Linked DNA regions of Callithrix jacchus. The protein of the gene in region 3 interacts with the protein of the main gene of each other region in a pairwise test. Links are inferred from orthologs where the notes say so. Each region holds a gene or a part of one and is shown on either strand. Other genes may lie near its edges.

Evidence for each region.
Region 1: the proteins of EPM2A (region 3) and PPP1R3D interact in a two-hybrid assay, tested with the Homo sapiens proteins (2 studies listed by BioGRID, with this or other methods). The link is inferred for Callithrix jacchus from reciprocal best matches to the Homo sapiens genes EPM2A and PPP1R3D.
Region 2: the proteins of EPM2A (region 3) and PPP1R3C interact in binary tests that used the Homo sapiens proteins (3 or more experiments, as listed by UniProt). The link is inferred for Callithrix jacchus from reciprocal best matches to the Homo sapiens genes EPM2A and PPP1R3C.

What each region holds. Positions count from the first base shown.
Region 1 is NC_133506.1:55,555,984-55,560,397, reverse strand, and holds the start of PPP1R3D (protein phosphatase 1 regulatory subunit 3D), read left to right. Parts: upstream 1-1,516; 5' UTR 1,517-1,908; coding exon 1,909-2,808; 3' UTR 2,809-4,414. UniProt on the Homo sapiens protein: Seems to act as a glycogen-targeting subunit for PP1. PP1 is essential for cell division, and participates in the regulation of glycogen metabolism, muscle contractility and protein synthesis.
Region 2 is NC_133513.1:84,419,222-84,423,377, forward strand, and holds the start of PPP1R3C (protein phosphatase 1 regulatory subunit 3C), read right to left. Parts: upstream 2,887-4,156; 5' UTR 2,784-2,886; coding exon 2,770-2,783; intron 601-2,769; coding exon 1-600. Other genes in the region: uncharacterized protein LOC144578709, read left to right, coding at 3,152-3,301.
Region 3 is NC_133505.1:152,428,935-152,432,568, forward strand, and holds part of EPM2A (laforin), read right to left. Parts: intron 731-3,634; coding exon 453-730; 3' UTR 1-452. UniProt on the Homo sapiens protein: Plays an important role in preventing glycogen hyperphosphorylation and the formation of insoluble aggregates, via its activity as glycogen phosphatase, and by promoting the ubiquitination of proteins involved in glycogen metabolism via its interaction with the E3 ubiquitin ligase NHLRC1/malin.

The DNA.
Region 1 (4,414 bases), on a different chromosome or scaffold from region 3:
CAGCATTCAATCATTGCGTTGCCCAATCATTCATTCATTCAACAAATGTTTATAGGAGTGTCCATAATGGCAGCGATGATGCACGTCCCTGCTCTGAAGGAGCTTAAACTCTAAGAGAGACCTTCCCACTCAATTTTTCTGCCTTCTCTATCGCATCAATCCATTACAAGATTTTCCATATATTCATACATATTACTTATTCTCTCTTTGTGAAATACTGTTGACCCATACCACAGATATCTGTTATTCCCCTCCCATTTTGAGCGGCCTGTTAAAAGTGCGCTGAATGGAAATTGGATATTTCTCTTTCCCATATCACCTGTCTCTGTAACATAAAAGAGATGTGACTATAGATATTTTCTTCCTGAAACTTTCCTGTATTTTTTCCACAATAACCATGTAAGCCTTTTTAGTTAGCTCACATCCGATGATAAATAAAATCACTCTCTCACATTTAATGAATTATACCACAATCAACAAGCTTGACTCATTTTAGATGTAGAAAATGTTCTTTAATATAACCCCCTTCCTTAGTCCTTTTTTCTTTCTGCTTTGTCCCTCTGGACAGGAAAAAGGAACCTTCTCAGTGGAATGCTTGGCCCCAAACTGCTCTCTGGAAAGTGGACCTGGATCTTTCTCACTCATTTCACCTGGTTAAGATTTACACCAAAGTCTGTGTGGGGTTTTGTGCTCAGAGCTACCCGGTGAGAGACACGAAGGCTTGCAGGGTTCTAAGGATGCAGAAAACGAGCTCCAGGCCTCGCTGGTGTTTCCGGCTTGCTTGGAAACAAAGCTGAAAGTCGGAGACTCTGTCTACAAATCTGTTCCCCAAGCGCCAGAGGCTGATTAAGGGCAGCTGCGGAAGTCATCACCGGGTATTAACTCTGGTTGCCCGTCTTCCTCTCCGGCGTTGGGTCCAGGAAGACAACAGCAGCGCCTCAAGTCCCCACCCTGCGGGGAATCTGTGGGCCTTTCGGGGCGGCAAAGCATTGTGGGTGATGCGGACAGGAGGCTGCTCCTCCACGCAGCGACGCTCCCGCGGTCTGGCCAAGGGTCTAGGTTGCAGTGAACCCGTCCAAAGTGTGGGCTAGCCGCGACGTTTACAATTAGCCCGGGGCCAGCTGCTGGCAATGCCGGTGTTTGCACCCCCGCTCCCCACGCCACAACCCAGAAATCTAAGGACACGCAGCATGCATTTTCCTTGTCCTCCGTTTGTGCAGACAGGGTCTGGGATCGATAGGCGCGCGGTCCAGGCAGACGTAAACAGACATTGATCAGACCTGTTTCGCGACTGCAGCGCACACGTGACGAGGCTCCCAGCCTTCCTTCGTCTCCGGCACCCGCGCGGCGAGGCCTGGCTGCGGCGCGCTGCGGCAGTGGAGCTGGAGGCGGCGGCGCGCAGCTCCACGGAGCTCTCAGGCCCGGCCCGGGCTGGCGGGGGCCCGCCTGCAGGTGGCGTCACGAGGGGCGGGGCGGAGGCTCTCTGGGAAGTTGCACCCGGTCGAGTTGCAGCCTCGTAAGTAACGCCACCGACCGGGAAAGTGGGAGGGGCCGCTCCCAGAACGCAGCCTTCTCGTAAGAACCTCCAAGGAAGCAAGAAAAAAAAAAAAAAAAAGAAAGAAAGAAAAAAAGAGGCGCTACCCTGAGTTCCCGGGAGGCTTCTGAAAGCTTCCACTAGAGAAGAGCTCGTCTCTTAAAATTTCTTAAACTGCAAGAAGCGGAGGACCCGGGCGAGGACTCCAGGGGCAAGGTGGCGAACAAGAGTAGGGCGCGCCGGGCCCCAGCGGTCCCCCGTAGGTTGCAGACACGGCGGACTCTCGGCGGCTTCTGAGCACGGAGGGAGCTGTCGCGGGGTCGGGAGGCATCCCCTCATCCCTGTCTCCCCATCTTCCGACGGCCGGCGGGGCCATGTCCAGAGGCCCGAGCTCCGCAGTTCTGCCGAGCGCCCTGGGATCCCGGAAGCTCGCCCCCCGGAGCCTCAGCTGCCTGTCGGACCTGGACAGCAACGTGGCTCTGGAGCCGCCGCACTGTAGGCCCCCGGGGAGCCCGGGCCGCGCGCCGCCACCCACGCCGGCGCCGTCGGGCTGCGACCCCCGCCTGCGGCCCATCATCCTGCGGCGAGCGCGCTCGCTGCCCAGCTCCCCCGAGCGCCGACAGAAGGCCGCGGGCGCGCCGGGCGCTGGGTGTCGGCCGGGCTGCAGCCGGCAGCTCCGCGTGCGCTTCGCTGACGCCCTGGGCTTGGAGCTGGCGCAGGTGAAGGTGTTCAACGCGGGAGACGACCCGTCGGTGCCGCTGCACGTGCTGTCGCGGCTTGCCATCAACTCGGACCTGTGCTGCAGCAGCCAAGACCTGGAGTTCACCCTGCAGTGTCTGGTGCCCGATTTCCCGCCGCCCGTCGAGGCCGCCGACTTTGGCGAGCGCCTGCGGCGGCAGCTGGTGTGCCTGGAGCGTGTCACTTGCTCGGACCTTGGCATCAGCGGTACGGTGCGCGTGTGCAACGTGGCCTTCGAGAAGCAGGTGGCGGTGCGCTACACTTTCTCGGGCTGGCGCAGCACCCACGAGGCGGTGGCGAGGTGGCGCGGGCCCGCGGGGACTGAGGGCGCAGAGGACGTCTTCACCTTCGGCTTCCCGGTGCCTCCCTTCCTGCTGGAGCTCGGCTCCCTCGTGCACTTCGCTGTGCGCTACCAAGTGGCTGGTGCCGAGTACTGGGACAACAACGGTGGCCAAGACTACAGCCTCACGTGTCGCAACCACGCGCTGCACATGCCTCGCGGGGAGTGTGAAGGGAGCTGGATCCACTTCATCTGAGCCGCGCGGGGCCACAGCCTGGAGCCTCCACACTTAAGCAACGCCTGCTGTCATTCATTTCCCTGCTGGGCCCTCACATCTATCTGGTTGTTCTTCGCCACCCTGCAAGTTCTCTGACCTCATTTTCTGCTGCGAGGTCCCCCGGCAGAGGCCCATCCTGTCTTCTGCTTGAAATGTCTGAGTCACTTGGTCTAAAAAGCAGCCTCAGGTGGCCGGAAGGCCGAGTTGACTTGTGTAATGAGTTGGGGCACGGTGGTGGGGTAGGTGCATGGGAGGGTGGGCCCTCTGGGGAGGCCCAAGCAGCTTGTTTTGGAAAGGCCCCCTCCTGCTAGGAAGAGCTTTTGCATGTGTCCTGAATGTGTCTCTGTAAACATAGCTGTTATTTATTATTGTGATGTTGGGACCTTTAGCTCATAGCGAATGCCTCCTCAGGAATATTCTCGATTTAATAAGCTAAAAAAAAGGTCTGTTGTGTGTTTGTGCCCACAGTAAACAATGTACAGTGTGACCCACATCATGGTCCCTCCAGGCATTCCTGCCCCACGACAAGGAAAACCTGAGACCACATCTGCTTGCCAATGGGCTGTAGCCTTCTAACAGTGGGAAACTATTAATAGGCAAGAAATTATCAGTCATCACACAACCATTCCTGGGCACTGAGACAGCCCTGGTGGGGCTGTGTGTCTCTTAGGTTAACAGCTGGGGAGGAGGGGAAAAGCTTCAAACTTAAACTAGCAAAACAGTTCTTTCTCTGCAGTCACAATTCTGATTTCATGTATTTCTCTGTTCAGGCCATTCTGTTTAAGTCTGAAACTTCCTAAACGTTTTAAGAAGTCTTGCCTTCGTTTTTTCAATTTTCAGGTGACTAGAGAATTTTAGGCAACAGTGCCCTTTTTGACCATTAAGGTGATTACCTTTTTGACCATTAAGGTGACTCTTTTTATTTCTTGTTAAGCATCAGAGGATGTCAGTATTTATCTTTTGGGAATCCAGTTAGAAGGTGGAACTAGAAGGTGTTTTCAGCAATAGCCAGAGCACTAGAGAAAAATAATTGATAAATATTTATACTTGTAAATTGTTTGGAGCTGTATTTACATATGTCATGTTTTATCAGGTACCCACAAACTTTATACTTTGTGCCTTCAAATAGGGTTTCTAACATGTTCTAGATTTGTCAGTTTTAAAATATTAAATTCTTTTTTGTTTTAAACCTTCAGCCAAGAAGTCAAGACCACTGTGCCCTCCTGGGTTAGGCAATCGCTTAAAACTCCAAAGAACTCCAGGCTGATGGTTCTTTTGGTGCTGAACAGTGGTCTCTCTGATTACAGGTGCTAGAACTAAGGTGTGAAAAAAAAAAAAGCCAAGAAGGATCAGATCTCCAGTTTGTGAAGTGTGTTTGTGATACAGTTGAAACCAGTGTGATCAATTTTATGATACTGTCACCAGGGAATTAATTCTAAACTTTTGAATGCTTGTTGGCATCTGTCAAATCAATACCGAAAGGACACATTTTGCCCTTTACCAATTTGGTTTTGATAATTGCAACCTTTGTGCTTGTCTAGTTCAAAGAACTGGGATCGCTTTCTTTGTTATCTTTTGATCTAAG
Region 2 (4,156 bases), on a different chromosome or scaffold from region 3:
TTCATGTAGACACAGTCCATGTCAGTGTAGTTTCTCCAAGAATCAAAAGTGATACGGACCTGAACTTTCTTCTCAAAGCTCACGTTTTTGACTTTTACAGTCCCTGTCACTGTTCGCTCTTGCAAAGAGCAGTTCTCCAGACAGACAAAGTTCTTCTGAAAGTGGTTCCGGAAACTTAGGTAATCAGTTGAAGGCTGAGGGAAATCTAAAATCAAGTTTTTCTCCTCATGGAGTTTTAAGCCAGAGGAGATATCATTAAGGTCCAAGAGATCAAACTGGAGATCCCATGCTGGTTCTTCTGGGATGTCAGAGAAGACATGGATCGCGGTGAGAGAGAGGCCCTTGGAGTCAGCAAACACAACGCGCTTCTTGGCTTGGTTGTGCGAGCACTTCCAGTCGTTCTGTGATTTGGCTTCCTGTTTTATGTTGAGACATGGTTTCAGAGGCTTTAATTTATTCACAAAATGTCTTTGTTGAAAGTCATTGTAAGGGCCCAGGAAACTCTTCACGGGCGGTGAATGAGCCAAGCAAAGCCTCATAGCCACATCCACTGGCATGACTGAACTTGTCAAAGGACGTGGATCTAAAACCTGGATCATTCTGGAATGCAAAGGGAAGGGGGATTATCACCTGGATCGGAAGTGCTCTTCCCCAGTGCCAAATGCATATGTACTATTTTTGTGCTGAATGACAGCCAGTGCACTAGTATCAGGCAGGTGCTGTCATATGTAGTAAAAGAGAACAGTATTAAGTGATCAGATCTTCTTTCTATGGTTACCTTTACCTTTGGCTGGCTAAAGGCTGACTAAGTGTTAATTGCTTAAAACACTTAGAGGGGAATGGGGTCTCAGTTTCCCCATCTGAGAAATAAAAGTGTTCTATTTGATGATCTCCAAGGCAGTCTTAAGAATCATGTGCTCTGTTCTGGAGCACATGATTGTGTGGTCCTCAAACCTGTCTGGTCACCATGCCTAGGGAAGTTCCCTCCTCCTTCCCTCCCTCCCTCCCTCCCTCCCTCTTTCCCTCCTTCCCTCCTTCCTTCCTTCCTTTTCCTGGGACTTCATGCCTCAGGGAATCCCTTCCTCCCTTCCTTCCCTCCCTCCTTCCTTTTCCTGGGACTTCATGCCTAGGGAATTCCTTCCTTTCCTTCCTTCTTTCTATCCTTATCCTGGGACTTAGAACCACTGAAGCAGAACTTCTGGGGCTAGGGCCAAGGGATGCACATGTTCTTAAAGCTTCCCAGGTGATTCTAATAACCAGACAAGTTCAGGAGCCACAGTTCCAGACCCTCTGCTCCCTCTGGATGCTTTGGTTTATTTTGCTGCTAAATTGATTGACACTTCTCTGGTAATTCACTTGAAAAAAATAAAATTAACATGCAACAGTTTTGACAGTGAGAAGGCTAGAGAAGCCGAAGAATTCTCTTTGCATTTTATCATGCTCTTCCTCATTTTTCACAAATAACCACTGAAATACAAGTCAACAATTCATGCACTTAAAAACTGTGTGTAATTGATAGTTCACCTAAAGAGATGCCCATGACAATTCCACATTTAAGTGGAAAAACTGATTACCTGAAAGTTGGAGTGTTTTAAGATATACAATATATATATATGAACTTGTAAATATTGAAAAACTCTATAGGAAATATGTCTTTCCTAATAATATAATAATTATTATCTCTGGGTGATAGGATTATAGATGATCTATTTTCATTTTTGTTCTTTTTTGGTATTTTCTAATAGGCATTTATAAGTAGAAAGACAATAAAGCTATTTAAACTTTTAAAGATGAACATGCTCAACAATATTAAACCAAGAAGCATTCATAAAGAAGACTTTTTTTCTGGCCTTTAGTCCTCATTAGATATTTCCAAGCTTATGGCATTAGGATTTTCCCCCCATCTTAGCCTTACACGTAAGAGGTGTGTGTATACTGTACATGACATTTCTCAATCTGGCTTTAGTAACTCTCCTCACAGCAGCTCTAAACATGTATGCAAGTGGTCATTATCACAAAAATGAGTAATAAAGAACACTCACAGAATTTACTGTATTAGCTCTGGGGTTTTTTTGGGAGACTTGCAAACTTAGAACAAACAAATGAAAGCTAAAGCTATATTTGTGGGTCTAATAATAGTTAATAGGCAGGATTTTTAGAGAAGTCTTCTGCTAAGCTATGTCTGGAGAAGCTATTTAAAGTATTTTATGGGAGGTTTTTTTTTCTCTTTGACTTTTTGCATTTATAGAAGGACAGTTTTAGTATTGGGTGATTTCCCTGGAACTTTAAGTCCTGGACAAGAGTTAAAAATAATTGCTCAAACTCTTGAGATTTTGCTATGGCAAACTGTGATAAGAAGGATGAATGACTACAAACATCGTCCTGTAAATTTTTTCCTCCAAGCTAAACCACCTAACCAGCAATGTCAGAGTGCTGTTCTCGCCACTTTAGCTGCCCGAGTCTTTGGCACATTTGTGCAGGACCAAAAGAACAGCCGCATCCCTGAGAAAATCCGAACCCAAGCTGATTCACGTTAAGGTCATTTCTGCTTTAATTTGCTTATTTCTAAAATAGGCTCTTCTTAAGAAATAGAGCCAAGTTTCTATACCTCCAAGGCCTCTCTGTTGCCAGATTCAACTAAGCAGTCAGCCCACTTGTCCTCCCCTGGGGTGTCCCTTTCCAGAGATGACAGAACTGAAACGCCCTTCAACTTCCCCACAACTGCGCGTCCCCTTGTGTTCCCGGCGCGCAGAGTTGCAGCGAACCTACCTGGTGCAGCTCATTAGGCAGAGAGGCGCAGCGGACCGTGAAAGCCAGCACCCACTGCCTGCACAAATTTCAACCCCAGCTACCTGCCTTGCCCCGCGGCGATCGCTGGGACGGAATGAAGGCCGGGCGCTGAGACGGCACTTATCCGCTCCGAAGCACGTGACCCGATCCCTGGGACCAATCGCCGGGCCTCGGACCCCGTGGCGCGACCAACCAGCGCCCAGCTAGGGCACGGGCCCTCGGCCCGGGAACGTGATCGCCCCCGGGCCGGACGTGCAGAGCGCGAGCTGGGCGTCCCGGGAAGGTTCGGGGACTCCCGGGCCAGCTGGACCCAACCGCGGAACGGGAACCCTGGGCCAGGGGCCGGACAGGCACGTACCGCATGCAGCGGGCGCGGGCCAGGAGAGAGCGCAGCCAGCTCGCCCAGGAGGGGCGCCAGTGCCTCAGGCTTGGGGCGGCTGTTACTCGCGAATGGCTTTGTAGGTCAGTGCAGTTGAATCTACACACAGAAGATGTGGCTCAGTCCGAATGTGTATGTATCGCATTTGAAATGTTTATGTTGTTCATTGCCCGCTGTATCCGCGTTTCTCCCTCACCTTAGCCTGAGCGACCCCAAACTGGTTGCATGCTTTTGGTTAGGATGAGTTCACAGATGCACCCCACAGTAGACAGCTGCCAAGAATTACCAACTTATCTAACAAATGTCGTTAGGAAAGCATACGAGCCCCAGAAAACACAGAGGTGGAATTAATTAAAAGACACTTTGTATTTCTGTCTATTCTATTTTCTCCCCTGAGAGGGACACTAAAGCCGAAAGTGAAATGACCCTTTTCACCCATAGAGCCTGTCAGAGGCAGCAGTCAACCCAAACCCCTCACTCAATTCTGAGGTCCTCTGGGAGTGGCATGGAAATCAAAATGTTAAAATACAATTTTAAAAAGCACGCTGTATGTTTCATGAGTCCTCTGAGTCAGTCACTTTCGCTAAGGTTTCATTATTTTGCTCAGTTTGGGGATTTTTTTTAGATCATCATCTACAACCGTAAAATTAAATGTCTATCTAAGTCAAGTCTAAATTATTCCCATGTCCTAGTTCTGCTTTACTGAGATATCCATTAGTCAATTAAAATATACAAAAATTCCTATGTCTTTTAAACAACTGTCAAACAGTGGAATTGTTAAAGTGGAGTTATTAGAGTGAAGAAAAAAAAGATCACACTGAATATCATTGGGAAAGGCACTTCATGCCTGGGTTTTATTTGTGAAATGTCTAACTCATGGCAGGTCTTCAAGCCCCCTTAGCTCAACCAAAACTAGCTGGAAGGTCTTTGGATTGACACTAGCTACATAAATGTAGGCAAGTTCTAACCTCAATTTCTTCATGTGGT
Region 3 (3,634 bases):
CTTTCCTCCCTTGGCAACTGACCAGCTCACACACACACACTAGTGATGAAATCCATATGGCTCCCGATGTTTTCCTCTACATGGCAAAGAGTTTCAGTTCAACAGGAAAGCGCTGTCATGGATCCATCATGCAACACATGCAGTGCTGTTAATCAAAGGCCTCTCCGCCTGCAGGCAGCAGAAACTGCATGCATTACACTTCTGTCTGACGCACAGCCTAACTGCTTCAGGCTTCTTCTCGTGTGTCAGTCACAGCTTTCTTGTACACTATTTCAAAGACACAGCCCCAAAACAAAGCATCATCGAAAGCCATCCCCCGGTGGACGTGGTTGGCTTGGGGGAAGTCACACAGTCCTTTCCGTTCAGGTAGAATCCTCGTTTCTAGGTCATTTGAGCAACATCACCCCAGGCTCCTCAGGGAAATCAGGAGGCAGCAGAAGCAGGCTGACCAGCTACAGGCTACAAAGGGAGGAATGAACCTTCCCAAATTTCTGGAAAAAATCTTCTTGTGCCCGGGCCAAGGCCTCTTCATCAATGTAGACGGCCGGCCTCTTGGCCAGGAGGAAATACTGCACCTTCCTCAGATTCCAGCCCATCACGTACTGGAGCCAGCCGCAGACGGCTGCAGTGGAGCGGCCCACCCCGGCGTTGCAGTGCACGTACACGGTGTGTCCGTTCTCCAGCAGCGCATGCAGCAGGCACACCGCTTGGGGCAGCATCTGCACTCGGCCTGCGGTGGGGAAAGCAGAGCACAGCACACATGTGAATAATGAAACCTCCAGATACCGCTGCTGAGATCTCCTCCAGCTCAGCCTCACATCACAGGACTGCACAGAGCAAGGCAGGGATACAAGAGTTTGCTTTCTCCCTTCATTGTGAAGGAAAAGGCGAGGCCACCTTAAAACCTGATAATAGAAAAGTGGAAAGGGCACTCCAGAGGCGAGAGGCCCTCTCTAATCCTTCTCTCAGTATTGCTGCTTCTTTGAGTGACTTCACCATCGATGCAAATACCTCCCAAAGAAAAGTGACCTATCTCCTGTCTTCAGAATGCACTTTCACATCAAAAGTGTTTGCAGAGATTGGTCAGAGTTTTCGTGGATTAAAAAAAAAAATCAGTTGTCAGATCTGACCACCTGAATTTCAGGGAATCCAAAAGTATCTTCCAGTTAAATGCAAAACACAGAAGTGGCTCATATTAGTTAAAGGAATCAATCTGCTCATTCAACATATGCTCATTTTCATTTGTTCAACGGAATGGCTAACATTGTTCGATACAGATGGGAGAACCAATTGTTCATTTATTCCCTCGAGATACAATGAATTCTAAAACTGATTTAATTTCCATGTTTTTGGGGAATTCTATAATTCTATAATTTGGGGTTTATAGCTATTATTGCTTCATGGTTACTATTTTGATGACGAGATTATTCAAATGTCTTCTCATCAGGCCGGGAGAGGATGCACTGTGCCCTGCTGAGGCCTGGTAGACTCTGCTTGCTCTTTCATGCTGTAGGACAGAGGTGCGTCCCATAATCATTTCTTTGAACTCATGGATGCCTTAAGTTTCTTCTGCTCACAGGTTCTCAGTACAGAGGTATTTTGTAAGTTGGGTTTGTTTGTTTTCAGGGGGCAGTCAATGTAAATTATTTCAAAGGGAAAGGAAGAGGGAAGTGAATCCTGGGTTAAGCTCCATGCTTATAACTTGGCATTCTCTAGCTACAGGAACACCATGGCCCCAAAGGATCCTCTGATAGTCACAAATAAGAACCCTGTGTGCCCTTCAGGTCGGCATCCTCATTGGATGACCAAAGAGGTGGGAACACCCCTCCCTCAAAAGATTTCACCTGGGGATCTGCGGTGAGGCCTAGAACTCCCCATGACAGCCATTACTGTAAGTTTAGACTTCCCTCTTTAGATGTCCTTTGTTGAAATGCAAGGACCCTGAAGGAGCCAGTATAACACACTGTGATCAGGCATCAGCACCTGAGAAGGACAGAGTTTACCAAGGACCACAACGTGGCTTGAAGGTCCCTCAGTGGCCATTCCACTCAGCCAAGCATCTACCTCAGCTTCAGGCTCAGCAAGCTCTGAGAAGGAGCAGAGTCCACATGGAAGCCAGGATAACAATCTAAAGCTCCCTGCTGTGGCTGCCTCTCCAGATACTATGTCCCTTGGCAGGAAACAAAGAAGCATCATTTAATGTATATTCAGGTATTCCTCAGGATGCCCAGTATGTGAATAGACCACAGTGGTCATCTGCAGTAGGAGCTGCTGGACACAGAGCCCCAGCCCCTGTCACTCAGCTCAAACAGCATCAGTGTAACCTGCCTGCAAACAAGATCTTCCCTGGTCCCAGTCTTTATGCTACAGCTCTGTTAATCCCCCTAGTGAAGAGATCTAAGACTGCTGCCTCCACACAGCCATTTAGAAACGTTGTACCTGGAATGTCTTCAGGTAGGGAGGGCTCAGGCTACTTGTGCTCCTTCCTTCTCTAGCCCTGTTGCCATATACTGGTGTTCCCTGCCTGGTTCCCGACGGCATTTGTATTAGAAAGTCACCAGCTTCTATGTATATCTGATGCCTCATAGTCCAAACAGAACCATAAACTTTAATCCATCTAAACCTCCACGCCTGGTTCCGGGGCACTCTGAGATTAAAGCCAGGTGGGCCTGCCACTTAGTTATTCATGGTGCCCTCCTAGAGGCACTGAAACATCACTGGAGATGCAACAGGATGGTGAGAGGATCCTGTGTGCCAGCGAGATGTCTCACAGCATAGCTCACGGAGAGCACAGCATGGCAGAGCCACCATTTGCGCTGGGGGATCAGAGGAGCAAAACCTCCAATGTACGGTGGATCAGCTCTGCTGAGAAGAGACAGGCCTGCTCCACTGTGGGGCTTCTACTCTGCTGAGGGTATGAGAGCTTCACTCCAGGGAAAGCTGGGTGGGAGGGAACTCTGCTGCTGGAGCTGGAAGAATGGGTTCTTCCTGCTCCAGCCATAGCTAGAGTCATGTGACAAGCTCCCTGCTATGGCTGCCTCTCCAGATACTATGTCCCTTGGTAGGAGACAAAGAAGAATCATTTAACATAGGTTCAGGTATTCCTCAGATGCCCAGTATGTGAATAGACCAGTGGTCATCTGCAGTAGGAGCTGCTGGACTCAGAGTCCCAGCCCCTGGCATTCGGCACATACTGCGTCAGTGTAACCAGCCTGCAAACAAGATCCTCCCTGGTCCTAGTCAAGATCCCTTCCCCAGACCAGCTCTCTGGCCAGAGGTTCCCCTAGGGTGGGTCTGCACCAAATAGCACACATGATGCAATACCTTCCCCTTTTCATTTTATCTGTAAAAGGTTTTTCAAGAGGGGTGTACACAGTCTAGAAGTTACAAAGGAAGTTTGTTAGTTTGAGGTTCTGTGATCTCAGACACATACTCCTGAAAGGTACATGTCAGCTAACACAGAGAAATTCCCAAGGCACCCAGCTTCACACAGATTTCAGCATCAGGGCACAGCCATTTATGATCTTCTCCCAGAATCACTCAACCACTGCACTGAATTGTTATCAAATATTAAAACAACATAAAGAACAAATAAATAATTAAGAAGGGCACCAGAGCAGTAGCCAGTCCAAGG